3 linked regions of the Cricetulus griseus genome follow. The protein of the gene in region 2 purifies or fractionates together with the protein of the main gene of each other region. This does not show direct contact. Links are inferred from orthologs where the notes say so. Each region holds a gene or a part of one and is shown on either strand. Other genes may lie near its edges.

The links.
Region 1: the proteins of Eif4e (region 2) and Hhex purify together in Homo sapiens (affinity purification with western blotting; 3 studies listed by BioGRID and IntAct, with this or other methods). This does not show direct contact. The link is inferred for Cricetulus griseus from reciprocal best matches to the Homo sapiens genes EIF4E and HHEX.
Region 3: the proteins of Eif4e (region 2) and Eif4a1 purify together in Homo sapiens (affinity purification with mass spectrometry; 8 studies listed by BioGRID and IntAct, counting the BioPlex papers as one, with this or other methods). This does not show direct contact. The link is inferred for Cricetulus griseus from reciprocal best matches to the Homo sapiens genes EIF4E and EIF4A1.

What each region holds. Positions count from the first base shown.
Region 1 is NC_048596.1:24,365,467-24,376,093, forward strand, and holds Hhex (hematopoietically-expressed homeobox protein HHEX), read right to left. Parts: upstream 5,999-10,627; coding exon 5,635-5,998; intron 3,629-5,634; coding exon 3,450-3,628; intron 3,264-3,449; coding exon 3,213-3,263; intron 1,567-3,212; coding exon 1,345-1,566; downstream 1-1,344. UniProt on the Homo sapiens protein: Recognizes the DNA sequence 5'-ATTAA-3'. Transcriptional repressor. Activator of WNT-mediated transcription in conjunction with CTNNB1.
Region 2 is NW_023276806.1:21,028,016-21,038,204, reverse strand, and holds part of Eif4e (eukaryotic translation initiation factor 4E), read left to right. Parts: intron 1-4,202; coding exon 4,203-4,309; intron 4,310-9,243; coding exon 9,244-9,339; intron 9,340-10,189. UniProt on the Homo sapiens protein: Acts in the cytoplasm to initiate and regulate protein synthesis and is required in the nucleus for export of a subset of mRNAs from the nucleus to the cytoplasm which promotes processes such as RNA capping, processing and splicing.
Region 3 is NC_048600.1:83,509,064-83,518,374, forward strand, and holds Eif4a1 (eukaryotic initiation factor 4A-I), read right to left. Parts: upstream 8,216-9,311; 5' UTR 8,129-8,215; coding exon 8,106-8,128; intron 8,069-8,105; exon of another isoform or gene 7,187-8,068; intron 6,860-7,186; coding exon 6,811-6,859; intron 6,591-6,810; coding exon 6,458-6,590; intron 6,057-6,457; coding exon 5,917-6,056; intron 5,671-5,916; exon of another isoform or gene 5,527-5,670; intron 5,025-5,526; coding exon 4,856-5,024; intron 4,811-4,855; exon of another isoform or gene 4,670-4,810; intron 4,578-4,669; coding exon 4,468-4,577; intron 4,372-4,467; coding exon 4,228-4,371; intron 4,151-4,227; coding exon 4,013-4,150; intron 3,926-4,012; coding exon 3,836-3,925; intron 3,787-3,835; exon of another isoform or gene 3,641-3,786; intron 3,580-3,640; coding exon 3,500-3,579; intron 3,407-3,499; coding exon 3,262-3,406; 3' UTR 3,094-3,261; downstream 1-3,093. Other genes in the region: Cd68 (macrosialin), read right to left, coding at 325-458, 685-855, 976-1,048, 1,176-1,295, 1,464-1,912, 1,994-2,039. UniProt on the Homo sapiens protein: ATP-dependent RNA helicase which is a subunit of the eIF4F complex involved in cap recognition and is required for mRNA binding to ribosome.

The sequences.
Region 1 (10,627 bases), on a different chromosome or scaffold from region 2:
CTCACACATCAGATTCCTGACACTCCTGATGCTTTCTGCTTCTGCTCACTGTCCCCAACCCAACACTGACAGGAGTTACCAAAGGGAAATGATGGTCCCATGGGGTCTCTCACACCCGCCAGCACCTCAGAGCAGCTGCTTGCTCAGATTCTCTCTAGGCCGCTGACTTTAACGTTCCCAGATCTTCTAAGTCTGCTGTTCCTCCAAGCCCTGCCTCATCCCTCACACATACAGAGCACAGAGCACAGCAGCTGGGCTCCCACCTGGGTGAGGGCGACTGTTGACTCATGCTGGTCAAGGACGGTGGCCTCACACACCAATCAATGGCCCTCTAACCGGCCCTGCTTGGTCCCCTGGTCGGCAACACACACACACCCCACCCCAGCTAACACCCCTGGGAAAACTCAAATTCACACTCCAGGAGATGGGCACCCCACTGTCCAAGGGGCCCCAGCCCCCCACCCCCAGTCCTGTGCCAACCACACACACACACATATCTCAAAGTGGTGGTATGTTTGGGTTTTTTAACCAAAGAATGAGAATTCCAAACAGGGTCACGAAAGTTAACTCATCAAATAAAAATTTAAAAAAAAATTAAACATCATTTTGGCAGGGATTTTACAGTGAATAATTCTATATACATGCTATAGACATTGTTTCAATAAAACACACTATCTACAATCACTTACATTTAATTGTCCTGCTGTTTCTAGTTCATGTAGAGATCACCTTCAGTCACAAATGAGTCAGTTTCCCTGCCTGTGGGGACTGTGCTATCCCTTAAGAGAGGCACTGGCAAAGCAAAGCAAGATTTTGAGAACCCTATCAGCTATCTTGCTTATAAGAACACATGCCTGGAGCCAAGTGCTCCAGAATGGTTTAGTAGTTAAGGCAGCAATGTGACATGTCACGTAAAAGTTGAGTGTGCCCTTTGAAACTGCTCCAAGGAGCCGAAAACAGGGGCCCCTTTTCTAAGTGTACCTCTTGAGGGTAGAGCCACAGATTTAGGAAAAGTCACTCAGGAACAGCCTACTAAAACCTTTAAAGTTATAATTTAAGTTTTAAACAAAAGTTCAAATTACTTCTCATAAATAGAAATTATTCACTTCTTTAAAATGGGGATACATTTAGTCACTTTATCAAAACAACTTAAAGCTGGTATATACACCATCTATTAAGTCAAAATTAAGGTTTCAATGCATGTTTGTTAATTAGCCAGCCCACCAAATAGTCTCGGAACACTAGAAGAATGATACTCCTTTTCTCTCCCATAGTTTTCCAGTTTGTCTGTAGCAGAACATTATTCGAAAGTCCGGTCTCTGAACAAATCTCCGCTGGTAACCATCATCCAGAGTTAAAGTAGCCTTTGTCACCCTCAATGTCCACTTCCTGGTCAGAATCCTCTGAAATCTCGGAGTCAGGGTCTTCCTGCGAGGCTGGGGAGGGTGAACACTGAGAACTATCCAAAGAGGCACCTTTATTCTGTTCACTGGGTGAGTGTTGGCCCTGGTCACAGGAAGTGTCCAAATTGTCCAACTCATCCTTTTTATTGCTTTGAGGGTTCTCCTGAAAGAAGAGGGGATGAAAACATAGAGGGTAAGATCAAAGACATAAAAACCAAAAGTTTAGTTGAAACACTGTTTTCATCTAAAATCTCCTTCCTAAGAAGATACACTTGTGATTCCTTTTCCCATTGGAAAGAAGAGTGGCAAAGTCACATCGGAGAGAGATTAGACATGACAGAGACCCATGATCTCAATCAAGATCTTCAGTTTACGAGGAAAAATAACTCAATCCAGACTGCACTGTCGTCATTCTTTAAATATTGCCCAAAACAGGGTTTCCTAGCATTTTAAAACGAACAAATGTTAATGGCTGGTTTGTAATACCAAGGCCCACTCATGCCCACCCACAAGAAAAGAAAAAAGGAAAAACATACTAAATTAAGAAGCTGTGAAATTATAGATTGAATCCTTTTCATTTGCCTTTTGAAGTAAATTTATGAGCACATACACATATAACTATGTACCAAGTTACAAAATCATGGCAAAGAAAAATCACAGACCCAAATAACATTGTTGAAGAGACTGCAATTTGCTTAAAATCTGGGCAAATTTTTCTGGAGAAAAATATTTCCCATATTTCATAGAAAGCTCTGTTTTAAAAAGTCCTTGGGAAACTAGCTCCAAGCCTTTGAATAAGAACCAAGTCCAGTCAGTGAGTGTTTAAGCCTGTGGGTGTCTAATATGGATGCAAACATTATATAGAAACATTGTAATTCTCAAGTGACCAAATTTGCAAAAGCTGGGCAAGGTTAGTGATGAAAGGGAATCCTTAGATACTTAGGAATAATAAAACTACAGGAAGTCTTTTGTTGTTTCAAATGTTCTTTTCCCACTTAGCAAACTTTTGTTTCAAGCTGTGGTCGATGTTATTTAAGGCACTGCCAGGTGAGCCATTCAGCGGTTGTCAGATAACTCTGGAAACATCCAGTCTGGGACCTCAGAAACAAATCCTTAGCTCTAAATCAGCAGGGTTGCTTTGGAAGATGAGTTAGCATATACATATATATATATATGATATATATATATATATCATATATATATCACATGTTTCTTAACAAGGTTATTGAAAGACTTCTTAGGAAGTTTAAGCTACTTTCCAAATAGGCATGGTGATTTCTTTACATGTTTTACATTCATTTTAAAAGCTGGCAAAAGATGGACAATAATTTTTAAAGTCTTTGATATTTAATTTTTCCTTTTTAAAAAGTGCAAATAAGACTTAAAGGTGTTTGTGTCTTTATATTTACCCTTGAGTCCTGCCTGGTTTTATTATGGCTGTGTAAATAAAAGAAACAATTTTCTCCCAAAGATAACTACTTATGTCATTTACTGTCAATTACTTTATCTTTCCTGCGTTAATGAGATAAACAACATATGGGGTTTATAAAACAATTAGCTAGGCGGTTTACTGGCCAGTGTGTGAAACCCTAGCATAATTGATATAGGAACTGCATTAGGTGCTTTTAGCATTAGTGCCACCTGAGCAACTCATCCTGAATTTCAGCAGGACTATTTGCCCTTTTAATCAAGGTGAAGAGGTTAAACAGTCTCTTCAAATGACTTTTGCATACAACCCATAACAGGTCTCCGCATTTAGATAACATGATACAAACATCTATTTCCATAGAAACAGAACCATGTCAATACCTGTTTCAGTCTTCTCCATTTAGCTCGGCGATTCTGAAACCAGGTTTTGACCTACAGAAAAGAAAGAAAGTTTACAGAAAGTTCCAAATCCCGAGAGACCTGGGGAGGAAGGGAGACGGGGCTGGTGCTGTGGCGAGGACCAGCCCTGCAGCTGGGTAGGGGCAGAACATGCCCAGGGTGCCAGTGTTTTCTTCAGCACTAAAAGCCTGCTGGGGCTGCGGGACCCAGAGAACTGACCTGTCTCTCGCTGAGCTGCAACATCTTGGCCAGACGCTTCCTCTCGGGTGGGGAGAGGTATTTCTGAGTCTCGAACTTCTTCTCCAGTTCGATGGTCTGGTCGTTGGAGAACCTCACTTGGCCGCCTTTCCTTTTGTGCAGGGGCCGCTGGAGGAAAGGGCTCCAGAGCAAGGGCTTGCCTGTGGGCCAGAAGAAAGGCGGTCATCACGGCCCTAGAGCCCCTGGGCAGTCCCAGACCTACCTGGTCCCAGGTGACAGAGGGGGGAGGCCAAAAAGCAGGCATATTCTCATCACATACGTTCTCAGGTGTATGGATGGATTCAACAGTCCCTACTAATGCACACAAAGTCAGCTAAACTGTTTGAGCACACAGACCACCTCGGGACACTCAAAACACCGTACTACCCGACTATCACACCTGTGGCTAAATGCAAACAAATCTCCTCAACCCAAAGAACTCCTGCCGGGCTTAAAACCTACCGACCGGCTCTTGTATGTACACAACTTTTTTTTTTTTTTTTTTTTTTTTTTTTTTTTTTTTGCAAAGGATTCAGTGTGCGCATTTAGGGGAGGAGCAGGGTTACACAGAAGAGCTCGCTGGGCGCTAGTGTTAGGCCTCGAGCGGGGGGCCTCCAATCGTGGCTGGAGCACACCTCGGCCTCCTCTGATTTCACACTCGGCCTGCGGGGGCGGCCAGTTAAAGCCACCCCGTGGGCTATGGCAACATTTCCGTCAATGTGTTTCCTGTTGGTCTGTCTCAAAAAAAAAAAAAAAAAAAAGCTTCCTTCTGCTCAGGCCCAGCAGAAACCCAAGGAAACCAGGGCGATCTCTGTGAAAACGTCTGCCCCAGGACCGTTCCTGCCCCACAGGGGGATAGAGTGGGTGGCGGTCACACACCCTGCAGGCTGAAGTTTAAAAATACAAATATTGATAACCTTTTAAGTACAGAATTGTTAACACCCACACCTCAAATCCCGGTAGCGGTGAGAATAGGAGCGCTGGAGGCTGCGTCATTTAAACGCTGACATCAAAATACTAATTCATTAAAATGTTAATTGTCTCCAAGGTCCCTAGTGAAACTGGGGAAAGTGTTGACTTTAAAGTCTGGTGAGCCCACCTCTTATTCCCTCTAGGGAATCAGACTGCGCGGGCGATGAGGGACTCAGGCCCCGAACCCAGTCACCGCTGCTTATTTATTTCTTAGGAACATTATGGGGACAAGCCCCGAAAATTCTCATGCAGTCAGTGTCTGTGTCGCCGTTCCTAACTGTTCGGGGTCCGCACCTTGTTACTCCAAAGCTGTGGTGGTGCGTCGGTATGTCCGTCCCTCTTTCTACAGGCCTACACCTAAACATTTTGAAAGCTGGCATTGTTTTTTCGAGATTTTGCTTGCGTCAGGCTTCAGACTGGTGCAAAACAGCCTCCAAAAGGGGGGCGGGGGGAGGCAGAGAGGAAGCAACTGGTTATTTTAGCTGCCATAAAGTCACATCCCACACAGAGGAAATGAACAATATCAGAAAAACGGATCCTGGCTATCAGACGTCGAGTGTTTCCTGAATTTGTCTGTATTGAGGATGTCGATAAAATAATCAGCAGCGTGCACTACTCCGGGGGAAGGGTCTGCTTCATGCAGCCAGGAAAACACTTAACAGCTTCAGAAACCAGATTTTCTCCTATCGAGAGCTCAAGATTTCCTGTATGAACGGAAAGGGTCAGGCTCCTTCACTGCACAAGCTTGTTGAACCAAGCCCAGCCCAGGAACCGCCCGGCCCGGCAGCTATCCCTGCGCTGCAGGGGCCAGGCTCGGGGCGCCCCGACGTCCTCTTCCCGGAGTCGCCCGCTAAGGGGGCCCCACCCGGGCCGACACGCGTGGCCAGGGCTGCCCTCCATTACTAGCCGGGGCGTCCCGGACACTCTCCCGACTATGCTCGCCCTGGATGTCTGCAAGGTGCAAGGGAAAGCAATCAGAGTGGCCGAGCGTCCCAGCTCCCGCAGCGCGTCCCCGGGGCCCGCGCCTCCTGTGCCCGCGCGCACCCGCGAGTCGCTCGCTCAGAGCTTTCGCCGCAACTTTCTCCGGCGTCTCCTGTCCGCCCCGCCGCCGCCTCCCGCGCGCTGCCACCCGCCGGGTGCGCCTTCCCCATTTGGACGCCCGCTCCCGGGGCCCCGCCAACCCCGGCCGCCTTACCCAGGGGGTCGTGGCGGAGCAGGGCGTGCGTGTAGTCGTTCATCGTCCGCGGGAAGGGGTACAGAGGGCTTCCGAAGCCACCGGGGCCGTAGGCGGCGGCCAGCGCGGCGGCGGGGTGGTGCGAGAAGGCTGGGTGGACCGGCGTGGGCTCGTACACCGGGGTCCGGTAGGAGGACACGAGGCTGGTGAAGGAGGAGTTGGGGGATGGCAGCGTGGGGGTGGGCGTGGGCGCGGCGGGTCCGCGACCCAGAATGTCGTCGATATAGAAGGGCGTCGGGTGCGCGGGCTGCAGCAGCGGCGTGGGTGCGTACAGCGGTACTCCCACGGCGGGCGCAGCCGCGGGTCCCGGGTGCGGGAACTGCATGACGGCGCTGCAGCGGCCCCTCCGAGAGCGCTGCCGGCCCGCGCCACCGCGCTACATTTATTTGCGTTCCGCGCTCCCGGCGATAGGCTCGGGCAGCCACGGGGTGGGGCCGCGCTCGGGCCCCTTCCTGCCGCCAGGCCCTGCGGCCAATGGCGCGGGCCGCGGACTCGCCTCCGCCCCTGCCCCGACCCGCCCCCGCCGGCCCTGCTCCCGCCCCCGAGACGCTCGGGCTGCTGAGCTCCGGGGACCCTGCTCCGGGGTGTCCCGCCACCGCCACCGCCGGCGCTCCCGGCACTGAGAGTCCGACTGCGACCGTCGAAGAGGTGAGCGCAAGGCATGTGCCAGGAACGCGGATCCCAGCGGGAAGCGCCACGGCGGAAATTCGGGGCGGCATCTGGCCGCTGGGGGACGAATGGGACTCTGCGGGCCAGCAGGTCGTCGGCAGGATGGCACCTCCCGGAGCCAGAGTAACCTCCCAGAGGCTGCGCTCCTTGGGGTAACGGTGGCACTGTCTAGTGACTGGGCCCTGTGCTGCTCAGAGCTCCAAGAAGACGCTAGCTAGCCTTTGACTGCGACCCAGACGGGTACTGACAGAAAGACTGCAGGTGCTCCGTATTCCACCTGGAAACCCCCAAACTCGGCCACCTCCCTCGATACTTGGCAGAATCTGCTCCAGGCGGGAATCAAGGCAAGACCTGGATCATACAGCGCGCGGCAGGTGCTATGCAGTGTTCTTCGATCCAGCGGAAGGCGGGGGGTCTGCTCCTGGACCTCTGTCCCGGGGCCCTGAAGGACACAGCTGTGCGCAGCCGGGCTCCGAGGTTTTGCACATGTTTTCTATTGAAAGTCGTAGCGCGCTGCTCAGTGTGGCCTCGGCCCTGTGCGGCTTCACTCGCCTCTGGGGCAAAGGGGCATTTTCTTGATTGACGCCCCCCTGCGGTGACCACACCTTGAGTTGGGCAATTTCTGCTAAGGTTTTCTATTAATAGAAAAACTCCCTGACTTTTTTCTATTGAGATTTTAAATTTCACCGTTTAGAATTACCTCTTCAGCTGATCCAAGCTAAAGAGGAGAAAACTGGGTAGCCGGAGGACCTGGGTTCGAGTTTCACTGCACACATTTTTCTTGAGCTACTACTGTGTGTAATTAGCAAACGAGAGAGGTAGCCCCTGTCCTCATGGAAGCAGGAAGCAAATTGAACCCAGTAACATGTTTGCTAGGGAGAAATCGTGCCTAATGGTCAGAAACTTTAGGGGACAGCCCCTAGTTTGGTGAAAAGGAGAGAGTCAATTTGAGAAAGGGAAGGGAAAGTCTTCCCAAAGGAAATGATGTTTGAAAGATAAGTAGGTGTCAACAAGCCTAGGGTGTGAGTGAGTCCAAGTCAGAACAGCATGTGAATAGGTTACCTAACACAGCCTCCGTCAGTTTATTGCTACAGGCTTTTCTCGTCTGAAACGTTTGGAACTTGCCATAAAGCTTCCTGACTGCTTGGGGATGGAATCACTGACAGCTTTCAGAATAATGACAGACACAAGCTACAGCACAGACAAACCAGTGAGTGTGAAGCCCTGTTATTTGAGTTTAAACCTTGGGAGCTAGAAATAATGTATCTCCAGTGTGTTCACTATGTTACACGAGTAATAGAAGATAGCAGCAGAGTTGAGAGGGGCAGGGCTGAAAGGGAATAGACACTTGTGAATACCTGGAGAACTGAACCATGTGACACTTCTGGTGAGCTCAAATACATCTTGTGCTAGACACTGTAGGAAGACAACAGACTGCTTGAAAGGGCTTCTATTGGGCAACTTGGGGTGATTTAAGCTTCAAAAATAGATTGTCAAGGTGCTAGCCTGGCAACGTAAGTTTTGATCCACAGAACCCATGATGGAAGGAAAAACTAGTCCCATCGTTATCCTCTGCCATATGCTTTTGGTGACACACGTTATACACAACAGTAATGAAATTTAGAAAGTATGATAAAATTCTGACAATTTTATTTTGTTTTTTAAGATAGGGTTTCTCTGTGTAACCGCCCTAGCTATCCTGGAACTCGTAGACCAGACTGGCCTCAAACTCCCAGAGATCCTCCTGCCTCTGCCTCCTGAGTGCTGGGATTAAAGGTGAGCACCACCACCACCTGGCAAATTATGACAGTTTCTAAATCCATTGAATTCAAGGGAAATAAAGGAGTGGTGGGTGGGAAAACTGGAGGAATGCCAGAACAAATATAAAACATTTGAGGTTGGTGAGATTGATGGCTCAGCCTATGAGAGATTACCTCCCTATGCTGCAAACCTGAAGACCTGACCTCACACTCCAGACCCCACATGAAAAAAAAAAAAATTCGGAAAGAGAGCCCTCCGCTGGAGCTCACAACATGAATGCCCAAAACCCTCATCATACACAATAACGATGAGATAGAATTTAATTTAGAAAGTTTTGTTGATTCAGGAAATGAAATAATCCAATCAAGAAAGACCCGTGAGACACCACTATGGAATGAAACTGAAGATAAGGATTATGGTAGTCTGATAAGGTCTTACAGAATTCTTTGGGCTTAGGGTAAAAGGAGAAGAACTAAATGACTTGTACGTAGGTGGCAGTATTTCACTGGTGCTGTGTAGGTGTGATTTCGGTCTTGTGAGTTAAATATTGGAAAACCCACTACTAATGGATTCAAACTGAAGTATTTAAGGATGTGGGTCATGATATCTACAACCTTCAAGTAGTTTGTTATACAGGTTATACTTACACATATGCACACAACTGTAAATGTCTGTGTGTGGAAACATAAAGAGATAAACCAAATAAACAGTAATTGTCGAGTTTGGGTGAAGGACATACAGGTCTTTGTTGTGCTATTGTTTTCACTTCACTGTAGCTTTGAAAGTTTTCAGTATAAAAACTGGAAAAGATTAAGTAGTTTTGTATATTAAAAAAAAAAAAAGACCTAAAGTGCTGTGTCATAGAGATGGCTCAGTGGGTAAAGACACTCACCTCGGAGCCTGAGGACCTGAGTTTGATCCCTGGGACATGGTGAACAGAGAGGACTGACGGACAAGGCGTCTCTCTGACCACGCACACACTGGCTGTGGCACTTGGGAACCCACACAGGTGCATACACAAGCCTAAGAGTGACCAGGGAAGTGGCTTAATAGTTAAAAGTCACTTGCAGGGGACCCAGGCTCCATCCCAGATTCTCTCTTCTGGCCTCTGAGAGCACCTGCACGCACATGGTGCTCATAAATCCAAGCAGGCACACACACATGCAAATAAATGACTTTTAAAAGTGGGACTGGAGAGCAGCTCATTGATTAAGAGCACTTGCTGCTTTCCCAGAGGATCCAAGTTCAGTTCCCAGCACCCATGTCTGGAAGCTCACAACTGCTTCTAACTCTAGTAACCCAACACCCTCTTCTGGCCTCTGTGGGCACATCCCACACACAGAATTCACTCACACGAAGTTGGGTGTTACTAGGGGTTGAAGCCAGAGCCTTACCATGGTAGGCAAATACTCAACAGCTGGGATATGCCTTCTGCTCCTTTTAATTTATTTTTTTTTTGAGACAGGGTCTCAAATGTAGCCAGGCTGACCTCCAACTCGATATGTAGCCAAGGGAAACCTTGAACTTCCATCCTTCTGCCTACACTTCCCAGGGTGCCGGGATCCTGGGCACATGCTACTTCCAGTTTATGCAGTACTAAGAATCAAACCCAGGGCTTTATGCACACTAGGGGGAAAAACCCTATCAACTGAGCCACAGCTCCAGCTTCCTGTCTTTTATTGGGAGGCAGGGTCTTGCTAAGTTGTCCAGGATGAATGTGAACTTGAAAGCCTCCTGCCTCAGTGTCTCAAATAATTCAGGTTATAGGCCTGAGCCACCACACCTGGGGCCACTCAATTTTAAAGGTTTTGTTTGGTTTTTAGTTATTCATTAGACCTATATACAATTTCAGTAGTATCTTGTCTTTGGAGACATTCAGGAGAGGGTTCTCACAGAATCTTTGTCTCCACAGGTGACTCTATACCTACCCTTCTTATCACCTGGCCTGATGGAGACTTCGTGTTTTAGATTCCAGAAAGACACAGACTCTGAGGACCAAGTAAGGACAGGTATTATCTGAAATTCAAATGTGTCTTTAAAAATTGTATTTGAATACCCCCCAAAATTGGGAGCTCAGTGAACTAGCACAGAACTGGTCTTCCTCATGAAATATCTCCCCACCATTTTGTTCGTTCTCCTCCTCAGGAATGTGTGGGTTTATGGTGCGGGTTTAGTCTGTGCTTGATTCAGCTACCAGCCCAAAAGACGGCAATCTGTTAACCTTCTGAAAGTAAATATTGAGATGCTGGGGAAATAACCGCTAATTCAGGATTGTTAAGTGATTGCCAGTTAAAGGTGCATCTGTCCTTCCTCAGCTGCAGCCTCAGACCCTGGAAAGTGGGTGGAGACCTTAGAGGCGTTGATTCTGACATTCCAACCCAGCTACATAATCCTCACCAGCAAACCGAAGCACTTAACTCTGCTAAACCATATAACACGGCCTTTTCAAAACCCAATAGATCCATATCCATTTTGCTGTAGTTAAAAAAAAATCACAACCACATTTGTGAATGGCACACACAGT
Region 2 (10,189 bases):
CTCTTGCTCTGCTTTTTTCTTTCTTTTCAACTTTCTGCTGTTGGTACAATGGCTTACTGAACCTGGAATCTCTAAAGTATAGTACTGAACCCCTTATTTGACACATGTGACTTCAACTGATCTAAAATCAAGTTTACTCTTTTGCACTTGGACCGATGGTATTTCTCTCTTCCCTTACTTGCCATGGGCATTTAATCTGTCTGACCTGGTAGTTCATGGCTTCCACTGCTGAAATGTTGAGATGTTCTTTGGCTTGACATCTGCGACCTTCATAATCTCTGGAGCATACTGCCCAGTCTTCAGTTTCTTGGACCACCCTCACTTTGAGTACCTTGGATATGGTCTGGATAAACACAGGACCATCCTATGACTTTGCTCTTTCTTCTCTGGTCTAACTGTGAAATGTACTTTATACTGTGGCCTTTCAAGGTCAGGCTATCAGTTTAAAAATGTGTTAGATTATTTTGAGAATAGCCATAATCTATTGTTAGCCTTTACTTTTCTGTCCAAATGATTTGCAAACCTGAAAATCCTGGTAAAAAGTGGGCATTTAAGATGTGGTTGGGAAAGGCAGCCATGGTGCTGTACACTTGTATTCCTAGCACTCAGGATCATTGCCATCTACTACGTAGCCAGTTGGAAGCTGCATTGGTTTCTGAGACAGGGTTTCACAGACTTCCATAGACTGACCTCAAAATGGCTAGGCAGCATAGGCTAGCTTGGAACATTGAGTCTTAATTTAGCCTCCCTAAGTCCTTCAATTACAGATGCAAACCATTATGCCCATTTTAAGAAGTTTCTTTTTAAATGTAAAGATGTAATTCAGTTCTGCCATCTGTACTCTGTAAGAAACAACCTTAAAAGTCAGTGTATTTAGCTGTGTGTCAAGGCATATGATTGTAATCCTAGTACTCAAGATGCAGAAGTAAGCAGATCTCCTTCCTGTACAGCCAGGGCTACATAGTGTCTTAAAAATAAAATTAAGGGCTGCAAAGATGGTTGTGTAGTTAGGAGCATTGGCTGCTCTAGTAGATGACCTTGGATTGGTTCCCAGCTCCCATACCACCATCTAATTCTAGTTCTAGGAAGCCTGACTTCTGTGAACATGGCACACATACATATATACATGTGCCATGCAGGCTAAACACTCATACACATAAATTAAACACTTTCTAAAGTGAATAATTTGTATCTCAGTGGAAATTGTAGTTAAGACTTGGGTAACTTTTTTTTTTTCTTTAAGATTTTTTATTTATTTACTTATTATGTATACAGTCTTCTTCCTGCATGCCAGCAGAGGGCACCAATCTCATAACGGATGGTTGTGAGCCACCATGTGGTTGCTGGGAACTGAACTCAGGTCTTTAGAATTATCTCTTTACCATTAGTCACTTAAGAAAATTCTTTTTTTTTTTTTTTTTTTAAAATTTATGTATTTATTTGTTTTCAAGACAGGGTATCTCTGTAGTTTTGGAGCCTGTCCTGGAACTCACTTTGTAAACCAGTCTGGCCTGTAATTCAGATCTTCTTGCCTCTGCCTCAGGAGTGCTGGGACTAAAGGTGTGTGCCGCCACCGCCCCTCACAGCCAGTGCTCTTAACCACTGAGCTCTCTTTCTAGCCCCAGTGAGCTTAATTCTTAAGAGTGTATTATCCTCTCTGAAGAGTTCAGTTTTTGGTTTGTTTGTGTTTGTGATTTGCTTATTTTAAGACAGGGTTTCTCTATATAGCTCTGGTTGTCCTGGAACTCCCTCTGTAGACCAGGCTGGCCTCAGACTCGAACTTACTTGCTGCTGGGATTAAAGGCATGCAACCTCCTTTCCCCACCCCAGCTGAAGAGTGCAGTTTTATTTTTGGAGGCAGTTAATCCATAGATAGATGTCCTTGACACTATCAAGATTTGTTTTTAAGACTTAAACCATACTCGTAATGCCAAGATTTGGGGGTGGGGGTTTTTTGAGACAGGGTTTCTCTGTATAGCTTTGGAGCCTATCCTGGCACTCACTGGAAACTAGGCTGGCCTGGAACTCAACAGAGATCCGCCTGCCTCTGCCTCCCAAGTGCTGGGATTAAAGGCGTGTGCCACCAAGCCCTGTGATAGAGTGACTTCTATGTAGTTTTTTATATTTACTTATTTGTGTATATGTAGTGGGAACATGGATGTCAGGAGGAGAACTTGCAGGAACCAGTTGTCTCCTACCCGCCAAACTATCTGACCAGCCTCTTTACTTTTTTTTTTTTTTAAAGATTTTTATTTATTATGTATACAACATTCTGCTTCCATGTATATATCTGCACACCAGAAGAGGGCACCAGATCTCATAACGGATGGTTGTGAGCCACCATGTGGTTACTGGGAATTGAACTCAGGACCTCTGGAAGAGCAGGCAGTTCTCTTAACCCCTGAGCCATCTCTCCAGCCCCTCTTTACTTATTTTTAAATAGTTTTTGTTTATTCTTGTATTTAGTGTGTGTGTGTGTGTGTGTGTGTGTGTGTGTGTGTGTGTGTGTGTGTGTGTGTCTATGTCTATGCTTACACCCTTGTATCTCATACTCAAAGCTAGCTGGCCCACAACCTCTGGGTGGTCCTGTCTCTTGCTTCTCATCTGACCATAGTATTAAGATGCTTGCCAATGTGTCTGGGTAAGCATAAAGTTTCTGTACATGTTATAGGCTGATTTAAGAAAAAGTACCGTTTAAATTTAGTATTTATTGCTTCTAGTTGAGGTCTTTTAGAGCATACATATCTTTCTGGGTCAATTGAAAGCTGGTAGTTAGACTGGGTGTATAATTCAGTGTTGCTTTATACATACAAGGCCTTAGGCTTGATGCTCAATGCTGAAGAGTATATAAGTTCAATAAAAAATATTGTATTGTTGAAGTGCCTGTGTGCGTGCACATACATGTTCGGGCATTTGTTTTAGCTTCTAATGACTGACTTTGGCTATTTTAACTGTTAAGGTCAGTTTTTAGCAGGCTGAGGAACTGCAAAGGGCACAGTGGTGAATGCTTTAAATTATTCCCAGGCTCCTTTTCATAGTTGCAATGACAATATTAATTATGCCTTACCTGTTGAAAATTTTATCACGAAAAATAAAAGACCCAGAGATAGATATTGGGGTTCAGACTTGAAGCTGAAGATTAGAAAAACAAAACAGCCAAGCCATTAGCTGTTACCATTACCTCAGGTTGAATGGGCTGATCCTGCTGCCTTTCCTCAGCGTGACTGTAGAAGTCTGAATGTCTTCCTATCTTCCATGAGGCTGGAGAATGAATGCCTGATACTGAGACCTTGCTCCTGTCTTACATACCTCCCTAATGCTGGGATTAAAAGTGTGTGATCCCAGGTGCTGATATCATCTTTGTGTAAGCTGTTTCTCTTTAGGACTGGATCAATCTTGTGTAGATCTGGGTGGCCTTAGTTTCACAGATCATCTACCTTTAAAGATGTATACCACTACCTCCTAGCTTCTGGGATTAAAGGTGTGTGCCTGGCTTCTATGGCTTGTGGCTGACTTTGCTTTCTGAAACCACAGGCAAGCTTTAATAAATCATAAATAATATATTACCACAGAAAATTCCAAACAGCTGTTGTGTCAAGCAGTGAGTCTGACATGAATTTATGAAGGACTTCTGTACTGCTGGCTTGCTCACTTGAAATGCTGTTTTGTTTGTCTGTTTTTGTTTTTTTCTAATTGTTTTCATTGTATCAACATAGTTGTTATACTTGCAAAATAATAGTTTAAACCTTTCCACAGTCTACCTCCATAATATAGAGTACTGGTTTACCTTTCTTTTTGTGGACCTAGGAATTGAACACACTAAACCGCCCTTCTATAATATTTTAACATATTAAGAAAATTGGGCTATTTTTTTTTCTTTTTTGGTTTTGTTTTGTTTTTGTTTTTTGAGATGGATTCTCGAGCTAGCTTTGGAGGGGCCATTACCTTTATTTATAATCTTTGATGACCTAAAATGTGCAAATAGGGGGGGTGTATCTACAGTTTTATAAAAATCACTTAAATTTGAGAAGCCTTTCTGCTTTAATGAAGAGCTAAAGTGGTCTGGTTGTCCCAGGGGTTGGTCTGTAGTCAATCTTGTGAAATCATCTGCTCTTATTCGTTGTATCAAACTTGCTTATAGTATTGCTGTCCTGGTTTTGTTTAAAGTTTTTTTTAAATCCTACTTTATTATTTTCCACTAGGAAACCACCCCTACTACTAATCCCCCACCTGTGGAAGAGGAAAAAACAGAATCTAATCAGGAGGTTGCCAACCCAGAGCACTATATCAAACACCCTCTACAGAACAGGTAAGCTGCTTTCTGAGAGAGGTAAGAAGGGTGGTGCACAGCTAGGTTTCAACAGAAGGATGAGGTGTGCCTCCTTTTAGATGTATATGCTCAGGTGTCAGCCCACAAAGGATCTTCGCTGAGGAGAAGAGAAGCCTCTGAAGGATATGGTCATGAAGACAGGACAGTGGGGGGCCAAGGGATACAGGAGCAAGACTTACTCAAGGTGTCACAGTCTCCCTTGGGCTGCACACTGAAGTAACTCCTTGCTGACTTCAGCGAAGGCTTTTTGTAAAGTGTAGGTGAAGGAATGAGAGGTTGGAGCATTTGAAAAGTGGATAAGACATATTAGGAAGCAAGAATGGGAAACAAAGGCAGATTGAGAAAGGAGAGAGATGGGGTTTGTGAAGGCTAGAGGAGGTGGCCCATGCAGACCAGGTGGAGGAGGGAGGGGAACTAAGGCAAGTTTTCAAATGAGCGGTGTAACGGAAGATGGGTGGTGGTTTGTTATACCGTTCTCTAGCTTTACCTATGTTTCTGGTTTAGTTACTGGGTTTTCAGATTATGTAATGAAAAACATTTTTATTTTACTGATGGTGGGAAGAAAATGGAAACTTGAAATGTACATGAACCTGGAAAAAAGTAACACTGGAACTGACTTCTGAGGGTCGAGTTCCTTTCTGGTTTCCATATTTGTTTACCAAAAGCAGATCTTTTTTTTTTTTTTTTTTTTTTTAACTGAGTTTATTTGAAAGCCTGCCAGCCTGTTTGTAATTTATTGTCGTATTTCACCATCAAGGGGATAGCATAGTTTTTGCCCTTTTTATGGCATTTTAAAACCCTAACTCTAGGGGTTGATGCTCCATGGTTACAGGCATGAGCTGCTCCTGCAGAGGACTCAGATGGCTTTTCATGACCATCAGTAGCTCCAGTTTCAGGGCATCCAGTCCCACCTTCACTCGTCCATGGACATACACACAGGCCAACACACTCATGTGCATACACAGCTAACACTCCTTTTAGCTGTCTGAACCCAGTTACTGCTTTGCTGTCATTAGGAGGGGAGTAACCCAGCACACCAGACTGCTGAGAAATTTGAGACCATGCAAAAGTGTAAACAGATTTATTCAATCCTCGTGAGATCTCAAGAGATTACAATTTCTCTAAGTTCTAATCTTTTTTTTTTATTTTGCAAAGTATGCCAGTTGGGAAAATACTATAAATGCTATTTGGTACTAAAACCATCACTGACTTTTCGTAAATTTTGTGGTTTCTGTATGTTCTTATAAGCACTTAACAGTTAGAGGATTTAGTAATGAGTGGGGACAGTGTATAAAGGTAGTATGTTTGCCTTCCTCCCCTTTGTTAACGGTGGTGGGGTGCCTTGCAGTGCTGTTGTATGTGCCCACTTGTGCGTGAGCTGTTTGTTATGACCAGATGGGTGCCAGTCTGAAGTGGGAAGTCCGCTTTTCTTACTGTGTGCTTGAGAGCACTTTCATATTCTTTTGGTCACTTGTGGTTTTCTCTTTGGAGAGTCTGTTCTGGGTTTTTACCTATATCTTTTTTTTTTTTTTTCCTTTTGGATTATCTTTCGAGTTGATTTCCAGTTACTCAAATAGCAGGAATAGTAAATCAGCAAATGCAGTTCCAATTTACTTTTATTAGGTTCTTTGGAATTGTATGGGATTGGATTTAAAAATTTTAATATTTATGTAGGCAAATATCATTTTCCCCATGGCTTCTGGATTTCCTGTCAGTCTTAGTACAACTTTACCATGTAGTAATTTTTTTTTAAGATTTTATTTATTTATTATGTATACAACATTCTGCTTCCATGTATACCTGCACACCAGAAGTGGGCACCAGATCTCATAATGGGTGGTTGTGAGCTACCATGTGGTTGCTGGGAATTGAACTCAGGACCTCTGGAAGAGCTGTCAGTGCTCTTAACCTCTGAGCCATCTCTCCAGCCCCCATGTAGTAATTCTAAAAATAAATATGCTAATGTCCTTTATGATTATATCATTTTGTTTTCAATAATTCCTCAAATATTTGATCTTGTGACCCCCTTTTCACTTAAAAAAATTGTTCATTGTTTTTATTTTAGGTGTGTAAGTGTTCCCCTCATGTGCATACAATGCAAATGGAGGCCAGAAGGTGTCAAATCCTTTGGAATTGGCGTTAAACACACTGGTTGTGAACTACCTTGTGGGTGCTGGGAAGCAAACATGTTTCCTCTGCAAGTGCTGTTCACCATTGAGGTCTCTCTCCAGCCCCTCCTTTTAAACTTTTTCTTTTTAAGGCAGGGTTTTTCTGTAGCCCTGGAACTCTCTCTGTAGATGGGGCTGGCCTCAAACTCACAGAGATCTGTCTCTGGCTCCTGAGTGCTGGGACTAAAGGTGAGCTCATCACTGCCTGCCTCCTTTTAAACTCTTAAAACAGAACAGTAATACTGAGGACTCTTAAGAGTTTTGTTTTTTGTGTTCATGCTTAACTCTGTTGTTACAGTAATAATGCTAAGACAGGACATTGGAATCCGTTGGCTTTTCTTGCCTTTGAAACAGGTCTTTTACTTGTGTGATTCTTGTAGAATGATCTATTGATTGCTCTGAGAAGAATCCAGTGATTTATGCAGATCTGAAAAATGTGGACACATTTCATTTAGAGCATAAAACATCACCTAAACTCATCAGAAATACCATTGTTTTGTGAAATTGTCAAGCTTATTGCAACAACTGCAAGCTTTGCGTAATTACAATTTTTATCCTGATAACTCGTAATTTTAAGTAATAGGCTTATTCTTTTCCCAGAAAATAAGTATAGCTTATCAGTCTTTCAAGTGAAATTGGAAAAAAAATGGATAATTTGTATCCCCATTCAAAACAGTATTTTGTTAAACAGATGTGTTTTTCATGTAGGATATGTAAAGGACATGTAAAAGGGTAGGAATTTAGTGAGAAAGGTGCTTATACTGTAGCCCAACATAGCTTGGAACTCACCGGGTAGCCCATGAGTTTCGAATTCCTTCAGGTTTGAGCCACCACATGCAGCTGAGATCATAAGGTTTGTAGGCTTGGTTGTACAACTTCTGAGGTTGCGAGTCCCTTAGCTTAAGAAGATGCATTTTGAGTCATTTCTAAATGATGCTACCTCACACAGTGTAGACGCTTTGAATGGTTTTTGTTTGTGTCATACAGGTAGAACCCTGTGCAGAATGGGTGCAAGGGCTTCCCCTAAATGTTTTCTGAGGTTGCTGACATCTTGAGGGTGTGAAACCTAAGGGTATGGAGAGATGACTGTTTTGTATCTCAGAGAGTAATAATTATTACCATTAGACACTGCAGGTAGGTGGGGGGGTGTAAGGCTTCTGTATAAACTATGTTAGGAGGAAAACCGTAAGCCAGAAGTATATATAGCTATATAGAAATTGTCATACATTATTTTAAAGCATATCTGTTGATCTGTTTTTTTAGTGTGTTTGACTATAGCATCACATTTAATGCTTTCCCCATTCCTCTTTTTCCTTTTAGCCAATTTCTATTGTTTTGTCTTTAAATAATTGTACTTTCTTGACTACTATCATATTATTTTGTACACTGTAATTGTCTATTGCAGAGAATCTGTTATGTAGTTGATACACAATGCTATTTATTTTTAATTCTGAGGATCAAACCTAGGACCTGACAAACTAATAAAGCACTGTTTTTCCAACTAAAATGCATCTACTCTTTAAATGAAAACTAGTTTGCTTTTGTAATAGAAGCTGCCACTTTAAATTGTGTTCTTATAAATGTATATAGTAAAGCACAAATAACAACTTACATTACCTTTGTGTTTTATTTTTTTAACTTTAGATTTATTTTTATGAGCTTGGTGGTTTTTGGCCAGCATGTGTATATAGTGCTTCTGGAAGCCAGAAGAGGGCATCAGATCCTGGAACTAGTTAAGGATAACTGTGAACCACCATGTGGGTACTGGGAATTGTAACTGAGTCCTCTGCAAGAATAGCCAGAGCTTTCAACCACTGAGCCACCAGTCCAGCCCCTCTTAACCTTTTAAAACCTATAGCTTAGTAATAATTGCATTCATGTTATATTGTATTAAAAAAAAAAACCTATTTACATCTTTAAAAAATGTATTTTAGAGCCAGGTGACACATGTCTTTAGTCCTAGCTTGGAGGAAGGCAGTGATATCTGAGTTCAGGGTCATCCTGGTCTACAAAAAATTTTAGAACAATCAAGGTTACACAGAGAAACCCTGTTTCAGACCCCCCTGGTATTTTATGAAAATACTTATTTTTGTGTATGTCTACATACATATGTAAAGGTTTTCATGTGCCTTAGCACAAATATGAGGTCATAGGACAAACCAAAACTAGCTTCTACATGGGTTCCAGTTCCAAACTTTTCCAAACACGGTCACCAGGCTGACTGTGAGTGCATTTGCCTGCTGTGCTATTTCCCCCTTGTTTTTTCGAGATGGTTTCTCTGTGTGACAGCCCTGGTTGTCCTGGCACTCACTTTGTAGACTAAGCTGGCCTTGAACTCACAGAGAATCACCTGCCTCTACCTCCTGAGTGTTGGGATTAAAGGCATGTGCCACCATCACCTGGCTCCTGTTTTCATCTTTTAAACTAAAACAAGTTAAGTAAGTTGCCAGCAACATTCTGTCTATTCCTTGGCACCACTTTTGTTCTCCAGATCGGACTACCTTAGGTCCCTCATGTAAGTAGAGCCATGGTTGGGGTGGGTATTATTTCATATAGTCCCGTGTTCTTAGACTTCACCCTTGTTGTACTGAGTGTCAGATTCCTCTTCAGGGTTGATGGCTTTTCCACTGTCTGTCAGTTCTACATTTTTACATCATTTTCTTGCTGATGGACATTTCTACCTTTTGACTGGTAAATAATTCTGCTATGAATGTGTGTTTTTATATACTGCCTTTTTATTTTTAGGTGGGCACTCTGGTTTTTTAAAAATGATAAAAGCAAAACTTGGCAAGCAAACCTTCGGTTGATCTCTAAGTTTGATACTGTTGAAGACTTTTGGGCGTAAGTAATTTTATTTTAAACTATACTTTAAGTTGTATATTTTTTTATTTTACGTCATTCACAAAATGAAAGACGAAGTTCATTTGTCTCTTCACAAATGTTTGACTTGATTTTGCTTTGCTGTAGATTTAGTATGTTCAAAAGCCCTATGCTTGATCCTCCAGCACAAAACAACAGAGAGAGAGAGAGAGAGAGAGAGAGAGAGAGAGATAGAGATAGAGATAGAGATAGAGACCGTTTCATTAGAGTCAGCCTTTATTTAGGCTTGAATAGTCTCTATTCCTCATCTGCCTGTGAGAATCCCCTCTTACAGTCTTAGAATTTTTGAGAACATTGTTGGAGTTTGTTCCCCTGTGCAGTCACCTAGATGGATGTTTGTGTCATACCTGGGTATTGGAGCCTGCTCTGCAAACAGTTTTCACTGTGATACCTGGAATTCCCCACTTAGGATATCAAAAGCTGAAGTGATTAAGATTCAGAGGCATGCCTAGAGAATGATGGTGTTAGTTCATCAATTTTATTGTAATTTTTGAAAGAGCAATTGAAAAAAAGTTTTTTTTTTTTTTTAAGGTTTAGTTTTCAGTTTAGGAAAGTTGACTTGGAATCAAACTTTTCCAAGATTTAAAAATAGAATATAAACTGAAAGTCTTTAAAAGTGTTGTGTTTGTTTTCAGACAGGATAAAGCTGAGTTGTTGAAGATGTCCTAGCATTCTAGAACTTGCCTTTACCTTTCAGACATATACTGCCCATGCCTTAGAAGCTTTGAATCAATGTTTCCAGTTTTTGTTTTCTGAGGATCGCATTCAGAAACTTAGATAGGCAAATGCTGTACCTTTGAGCTGCATCCCA
Region 3 (9,311 bases), on a different chromosome or scaffold from region 2:
GGTTACTCTGGTGTTTTCATCCCTTCCTGCCAGTTGTCTCCTAGTGACTCAACCATGGGAAGGCACAGGAAGGCACATGACAAGAAACTCGTGGCTTTTAATCCTGGCAGGGCAAGGGAAGCCAAGGACAAAGATTTCATAAAGTTTTCATATCCTTTTTTTGTTGTTATCAGAAGTGGGACACCCATTCATGTTTATTAACCACCCATTACAAAATCTCTGATTTTGTTCTTAAAGACAGAGAAGGAGAATAACTTTGAGTCAGTTGTAAGTTGAAGAAATGAGGATGTTCCTTAGTGGCCCGGAGTGAATTGGAGCAAATGCTCAGAGGGGCTGGTAGGTTGATTGCCGTCTTCGGGTAATGCAGAAGGCAATAAGTACCAGGGTGAGGAGGCCAAGGAGGACCAGGCCAATGATGAGAGGCAGCAAGAGGGATTGGTCACTGGTGCAAGAGAAACCTGGTAGAAAGATGGGATTATTAGGGATTCCAGCAGCAGTGGATGGGATAAAGGTAGGAGGAAGAAAAAAGGAGATGATGGAAGGAGGTTGATGAGGTGCTCAACCCCATAATTCAGAGCAAAGTAGAGGGGGAATAGGCGGTCTTGTTAAAGAAAGAGGGCTCTGGGGAAGAGGTTTCCTGTGCAGTGGGAGACTCCCAGGAAGGAAGAGGTAGGGAGGTCTTACATGGCCCCAAGTGTCCAGTGTTGGGAAGCTGAGCAGCCTGTAGTCTCAGGAAGAGTAGGTCAAGGTGAACAGCTGGAGAAAGAACTATGCTTGTATTTCTGCAACAGAAGCTTTGGCCCAGGGGAGCTTGGAGCTCTCGAAGAGATGAATTCTGAGCTGAGAATGTCCATTCTGAAGAAGTTATTAATGAAGAGTCAATTCAGTCCACTCACAACTCCTGAGTCTTGTTGTCGAGCCGCCCCCCCCCCCCCCAAACTAGCTAGTGTGATAATGAGAAGGGAAGTTACTCACGTGCTGCCTGTGGGAAGGACACATTGTATTCCACTGCCATGTAGTTGAGGTAGACTGTACCCTGCTCCATGTCCTTGAGGTGAACAGAAAGGATTAGAGCAGCAGGGACAGTGGCATTATGTCCACAGAGCAAAGGACGCAGCTTAGGGGTGTAGGTATGGGGCACAGGAGAGTAAAGGATGAAGACAAAAGCTGTCTACCTGTTTGAATCCAAAGGTGAGCCGCCCATAAGGAAATGAGAGAGACAGGTGGGGATAGGCATGGTCACAGCCCCCCTGGACCTTGGTTTTGTTGGGATTCAATGTAGTAATGCCCCAGGCCTACAGAAGTGAAAGAATAGTGAGTCTGAAATTACATGGCTATGTCATACAGTATTTTTTTATATCCTCTGCTCTTTCTCCTGAACCACCCCAGAACTCACCCCTTGCCCCCTGAAACACCTCAGAACTTACCCCTGTCCCCTTTAAGCCCCACTACCTTAGCTTTACCTTTCCTCCACCCTGAGTTGGGTACAGGATTCGAATTTGAATTTGTGCTTGGAGCTGAACACAGGGCTGGGAGCCATTAGTCCATGTGTAGTTTCCAAGAGCCTCCTTGGAGCCTGGACTAGGACTTGGAGAGGGTGGAGTTGGTCCAGGTTGAGGGCCGATGGTAGAGAACCCTGGACTAGGAGCAGTGCCGTTGTTTGTGGTGGGGTAAACTGTGGCATTCCCATGACTGGTGGTCACAGCAGGGTTGTGAGTGGAAGTTGTGGGTCCAGAGCTGGTAGCGGTGCTATTACTTGTTGGAAGAACTGTGACATTTCTGTGACTGGTGGTAGTGGGCCTGTGGCTGGTAGTAGAGCTTGCTGTGCTTTCTGTGGCTGTAGGTGTCATCGTGAAGGATGGCAGGAGAGTAGCAGCTTTTTTGTGAGGACAGTCTTCCCCTGTTCCTTGGGCTTTCAGCAAGAAATCGGTTGGCTACCCAGGTACAGGTTCCTGCCCAGGAGCTCCCTCCCTCCCCTCTCCATTCTCCTTACCTACAAGCAGTCCCAGCAAGACCAAGCAAAGCACTTCATACCTCATGGTAGAGCAGCTCAAGAGTCCAGCTGGGCTGTACCAGCTCCTTCCTCAACCCAATAACCTCTGCCTTCTCTTGAAGAGGAAATGAAAGTTGCACTTCCCTTAAGACAATCCCACCCCAGAACCTGACTCAGACACCTCAGCTCCAGCCACTCACTTTAGTCGCTCTTCTCACAATTAAGCTGTGATTGGCAGTGGCAGTGGGAGGTACAAAATCTTAGCAACCACGTGAAAAATGAGGCAGTTGACTCATAGGATCTTAAGCAAAACTTGCTCTACTTGAGTTTACAAGGCAAGCAAACTAATTAGGAGGCCCTTTCCGCATTGGTTAGGAACCCTGCCCCACCCGTGTGCATCTCCTGGTCTTCACTTTAGTTCCATGATACCAAGAGCTACAGGGAAATCCTCACCCCCAAAGATAGGCAGTCAGCATCCACATGTGTTGGGCACTTTGGGATCTTAAGCAGAACTAGGTTTTGCTGACTTCTTGACCCCATTACTGTGTTCAGTTCCTCAAGTATCATGTGATACTCGTGACTAACGTTTTGTGAAGGGTCCTGTACTGTCAGTACCAGTTTTCAGTACATAGTGGATCACTTGATATATTTTGAACACCAGCAGGAGGCAACAACACAGTAATGAACCACTATAGGAGCTGACCCACACAAACAGCAGGTGGGAGAGGAACAAACAAGAAGCCCAAACAGGCAGTTTCCAAGTAATTTTATTCAGAATTTTGTGTTTGTTTCCTGAATCAATAAATACTATACAAAACAATGTAAAAATGGCTACCATTTTCTCTCCCCTGCTCCCCTCACCTGGGGACAATTCCCTGGACAACTTCATGCAGGGACTCTCCCTGTAGATTTGGTCCAGCAAATGAGGCCAGACATGTTTTAGCCCCTTGATTCACTTTTGGAGATTTGGCTGGGGTAGTAGGAAAGTCTTTAGAATCAGGTTAGGGGAATGGATTAGTGTTTTGGGGTTGGGGGAAGGAGACGGCGCCTGGGGCAGAACCTACCCCAAAGAAAAGGGTATCTATAATGTTCACGGTTCCTTCTTTTTGCCTCAAAAAGTGACATTTATTCAAAGAGAGAGAGAGAGAAAAACAAAACAAAAACAAAAACAAGATGTCCATCCCTTGGCTCCCTTCCCTCCCCCCTCCAGCTGTTCCTCAGCCCCCCAGGACTGAACCCTGGCTAGAGCCAGGTAACAGGACAGCCCCTCAAATGAGGTCAGCAACATTGAGGGGCATCTCTTCAATGGAGGTGTTGTAGAATGTCTCAATGTCTCGAAGAGTCCTCTTGTCTTCTTCTGTCACCATATTGATAGCCACACCTTTACGGCCAAAGCGACCACCACGACCAATTCTAAGGGCAAAAAGGGATAATAATGGAATGGGGAAAGAGGATGACATTTGGATTTCAGCGCTTGGGTATTTGGCACTGCAGACCCTTACTTACCTGTGGATGTAGTTTTCCCTGTTGGTGGGAAGGTCGTAATTGATGACTAAGGAGACCTGCTGCACATCAATGCCTCTGGCCTAGGTCAAGAAAGATCACAGAACTGTCAGAGGGTACAATCTGTCCAACTGATTTAGGAATACATGTAGGCAGCCAAGGCAGGGAAAGGCAACAAACAAGCATCTCTTGTTCCCCCAGAGACCTCAGGCATGCCAGGTTTTCTTCCAAGTTGCTACGTTCCTGAAAGGGGCACTAGTCAGCCCCTTGGAGAGGGAATCACCTTGGACTCAACTCCTCCCACCCCTCTTGCTTTTCCTGAAACAGGCCTCTACTCACCAACAGGTCAGTGGTAATTAATACTCTGCTAGAACCAGACCGGAACTCCCTCATGATCACATCTCGTTCCTTTTGGTCCATATCTCCATGCTAGAAAACAAGTAGCACAAGGCTTTTGGCATTCTATGCTTAAAACACAAGCACACACAGCTACTTAGAAGATCTGAGAAAACTTACCATGGCGGAAACAGTGAAATCCCGGGCATGCATCTTTTCAGTGAGCCAATCCACCTTCCTTCTGGTATTGATAAAGATTACTGCTTGGGTGATAGTCAGGGTTTCATACAAGTCACACAATGTGTCAAGCTTCCACTCCTGGAGATCCGGAAACATCAGTCAGGGGCTATACCCAACAACTTACTACCAGGTCCGCCTCCTGCACTAGGCCCCACCTCTCTTTCCACATTGATGTAGAATTGACGGATACCCTCCAGGGTCAACTCTTCTTTCTTGACAAGAATCCGAATGGGGTCTCTCATGAACTTCTTGGTCACCTCAAGGACATCTGAGGGCATTGTAGCAGACAACAAAACTACCTAGTTGGGGAGAGAAAAGTGGATGGCAATAAGGGTTGCTTGTCCTCCTCACATCACAACCAAGCCATGGGTTATCCTATGAAGACAGCAGCTTACCTGTGTGTTACTGTTGAGCTTTTGGAATATATCATATATCTGGTCCTTGAACCCACGGCTTAACATTTCATCTGCTTCATCCAGTACAAACATCTTGATGTATTTGGGGGCTAGGAAGACAGAAAAGATACCAACACATAATAAGAGAAATGTGAAACATTTAATTAAGTCCCTTAGTAAAGGGACAGGCAAGGAGCAGTCTGCTCTCAGAATATAAGGATTGATCCTTTGCCTAAGGCCTCCCTGCCAGGCCAGAAAATAGTCCTGGTAAGTAGAACACTACCTGGGCTAAGGCAACAGGGAAGCTGGGCTCAGATGACACGCATGGGGTTCATCACAGAGCAACTAACATCCTAGGAAAGTGCGACAACTGTAAAATGGCACTCACACAGGTATCTCCGGTTAAGCATATCAAACACCCGGCCAGGGGTGCCCACGATGATATGGGGAGCTTCCATCTGCAACTTCTGCACCTCAGCACGCACATTAGTGCCTCCAATACAGGCATGACAAGAGGCACCCATGTAGTCTCCTAATGCCATGACCACCTTTTGAATCTAAACAAAAGACAACTAAGTTAGCTTCGGCTATATACACCTGGAAGTTTGTTACTTTCCCCTTTAATCCATTTATCTAAAACTCTCCTTAAGACACCCCCCCACACACAAATGGCAGAATCCTTGTTTCTGAACACAGGCTAACAGTTAAGTTTTCCATCCTACACAAAACCCTCTAAAATACCAAGCCAGGCCACGCCAGCCCTTATGGCTTAGAACTAACTCACAGGCTCCATCCTGCCATCACATTCCAAAGGCTGGGATTATGAACACAACAATGTAAGCAACATGTTTATTATATATCCCTGCCACAGAACCAAAGACTTCCCTTATTGGGCAAGTAAGCATTCCACTACTGAGCTACACCCTCAGCCTGCATACAAACAAAACACAACCCCCCCACCCATGACACGGACAAACAGGACTCCTTGCTTACCCCAGCACCCAGATCTTCAGAATAATCACTAGGTTTAAACATTAGTAACCAAGAGGCAGCAGGATTTTATGTGCCCTAGGCATGAAACAGCTTTGGCCACCAAGTCAGGCATCAAGCTAGGATGAACAAAGGACTGCCACCTGATCTGCCCCTGGCTCATATAAGAACATCACCACCACCAAGGTGTCTCTTTGCCCATTGCCAGGGTTTCTTCATAAAATAGCTGGCCCTGCTACCCAGCCAGCTGCATTCCACTTCACTTTATGCCAAAGGAAGTGGGTTCTACTGACAGAAAAAGATTTGATAATTACCCCAACAAATCAACAGCTCTAGAAGCTACCAACCCATTTTATTTACCAATTCCGGAACATGTTTTTAACTGCCAGCAGTGCCAGAAAATGCACTGAAGTGTCATTCTGAAACTAGTCAATTAAGGAGGAAAGAAGCCACTCTTACCTGCTGAGCCAACTCACGAGTGGGGGCCAGAACCAAAGCCTGAGTGGCCTTAAGATCTAACTCAATCTGCTGCAGAATTGATATGGCAAATGTAGCTGTTTTCCCAGTCCCAGACTGGGCTTGAGCAATCACATCATAACCTACAATCAGATCAAGAATTACATGCGGTAAATGTTCTTGCACCGTGGGCTCATTGACAGACAGTAGGGATATCATGGTATCCATAAGGAAACAAGGTTGCAAACAATGTTAGGGGAGGGCCTCAAATTTTTGTCACCCAGATATTGTGACAAAGTCCAGGGTACCAGAACATTATGAACTTATACCACACCCACTTGAGCTAGACACAAAACATTAAAAATTAAAGTGCCTATGAACTAACTGGAAACACCAACTCCTGTCTGTATCCAAGGCATGACCTAGATACCGACATAAACTAAATCCAAGAACCAAGGAAGCAGTGTAAATAAATTGTTCCCCTGTAGTTGCCATGCCCACCACCAGGTCAGGGACAGTACAAATCTATCCTGACAATTCTTACCCTTGATACAAGGAAGAATGGCTCGCTGCTGGATGGCAGAGGGCTTCTCAAAACCATAGGCATAAATACCACGGAGGAGGGATTCTGAGAGATTCATGTCATCAAAGCTATCCACAATCTCATTCCAGTTACTCTGTGGGATACAAAGAAATGAAAACTCAGGAAGATAGTAGCATGTGTTTACACAAAAGCCGCAGCCACTCCACCCCATGTCTGCCGTCTGTCTCATTCTAGATGTCTGAGGTCACTGTCTCTATAAGGAGGTACCTGTTTACTTCAGACATGTAAAGCGGGGGATTGAATAGGAGAGAAAACGCATAAGGCAGGGTAGTGGCAGAAAGTTGTAGTCTCACCTCGATGACGCCTTCAGGCTCCATCCCGTCGGGGCCATTGTCTCTGGATCTGTTGATTCAAAGCATTAGTTTTGCTTCCTGCTTGAGAGGAGCGCAGAAACAACCAACCCATTCCCGCTCGTTCCCAATGGACAATCAAGACGCACATTTAGGGTGTCTCTCCTGTTAATAAAGATCAAGGGGCTGTGCCCTCACACATGAGGCTGAGATGCAATCTTTGCCGCCAGACCCACATGTTCTGGTCCTGACCGATCAAAGCGCGTGCACCTCCTCCCGGGCTCCAAGGCCACCGGAAGTCCCGCCCTTCACCTCGGAGCTCCGAGGGTGGGCCGTCCCCTTCCCCCCACGTCATGCCGCCCGCGCCCTCCCCCACTCCCTCCGCCGGCCCCCCTCCCCAGTACCCGGATGTGGGAGGCCGCGGGCGGTGGCGGCCTCGCGCACAATGAGCCGCAGCCGAGTTAGCTAAGGGGGAGATTGCACAACACAGACAAGCGAAGCAGACTGGGGGAGGGGAAGCTCTCAAGCGGCCATGTGCTCATTCGCTCCGCCACTCGGCGGCGTCTCCCCCGCCATGAAACAACCCGCCCGCCCCCGTCGAGAAATGGCGTCGCCCTCCCATACCTCAGGCCGCTCACCCCCGGAGGAAAGTGGACCTGCCCATCCGCAGTTTGCCAATTGCCCGGCTTGTGCGGCAAAATGGACCCGCCCGCCCGGCGCCGGGAGCCCTCCCGGCGCCTCACTCGGCCGCTCCTCGGGGTTAAGCTCAGTCCCGGCCGTCAAGAAAACCAGCACCCCGAGCGGCCGGCTTCTTCCCCGACCCACATTCCAAGAGTGACGACGGGACTGGCTGGAGGCGCCGGCACCCCCGCCGGTCGCGAGTGGTACCGCCAGAATCCTCCGGAGCCGTCGCGCGCGCACACCCTGCCCGACACAGGGAGGCAACCAGACTAGCCGGCTCCGGGCCGCGCAGCCGCCTCGCCGCTTTCCCACGCTAGGTCAAGACCTCGTCCTGCCTCTGACTACCCGGGCTTCGCGTACGGCATCCCCTCGGGCAGAGGCCTCGTGACGAACCTCGCGCCCTCCGCCCTGGGAAGGCTGTCCTTCCCCGTCTCCGCGCTGGTGGCGGCGTCCGCCGTGGACCATTCCCTTGCCCCCCCTCCCGGACGTTTCCTCCCGGCTCGGTTCCCCCGCAACCTGGTAGGTTTGGGGCAATGGGCCTCTCAACTCCCCCGTGGGGCCTTCGGAAGGGAGCCGCGGGGTAAGTAGCCACAGCCTCTTGCAAATGCCTTTCTTACCGAGAATCCTGACTCGCAGACATGATCCTTAGAATCTAGGGTGGAGTGCCCGCCTATCGACAACTTATAGAGCGCCCGACCCCGCCCCAGCCATCGCATTGGTTTGGCTGCCTCTGCCCCGCCTGCCGGCACTCTGCAACTCGACGTGACGTTAGTTTGTAGGCGCTTTAGCTCGTACGCCCTATTGGGTAATTTGAATGCCTATCAAGGCTGAGGCCCGCCCTGCAGCCTCATTGGCTGAAGGGCCCGCCTTTCTCACTGGTACGGAAGTGACATACAGAAGTCGGGCCTCGCGGCCGGGCAGCCATCTTGGAGCCCAGCACCTTTACACGTGCGGAGGCGATCGTGCCTTAAGTCATGTGGTTCAGCGGGTCCTATCAAGCGACGGGGGTGAGGCCTTAGCCTCCAGGGACTTCCGGGCACCCGGGACTACCACTTCCTTTACATTTCTGCTACAGGTTTCTACAAGACCCAAGGTTTAGTCTTCCGTCCACTAATGATTGGTGTGTTCACAGTCGAGCAAGAATGACAGAACCAGTGTCGATATCCCAGGGTATAGGAAGTTTCTCTAGCTGGAGGGAAAAAGGATGGAACCCATTTCTGGGCTAAAAGGCATAGGTATGCTGTATTTCTGGCCAAGGAGTACCTGGCCCACTCCATCGCTGGTTCTTTTAGCTGCTGTTCTCAGGTTCTCCCAGGCTCCCTTATTTTTGAAGCTTAATTCCTCTTCTTCCGGGCCTCTGCTACGCTGCCCTAAGTGCTGCCATATATAGAAAGCTGGCTTTTTGAGATCTAAGATCTGAAAAAGGGGTAGCTAACAGCACTAGCTGGAAGAAGTCCTGAGATAGAGACATCAGCTATTGTAAGGCCCCTCAAGGAAGACCACCACTTATGTATCTTCAAAGGATCCTTTATTGACCAGAGCAGGACCGTGGCATTTTTATATATATATATTTATATATATAAAAAAAAAGTCTGAAGATCTGGCAGGCAGCAATCCCTTTGCCCGCCCACCACCCCCACAGTTTTCCTGCCCCCTGAACATGGAAGGAGGAATGGATGCTCCACTTGGCCACAAGGCAACATTCCCCTAGGGAGGGAGAAAATGGGTCGTATGTGGCCAATCCCTTCCCATCAGAAACCAACATTCTCGCAAAGAAAACAAAATACAGAAATCAAAACATTTAAATATGAAAATCCAAAGGG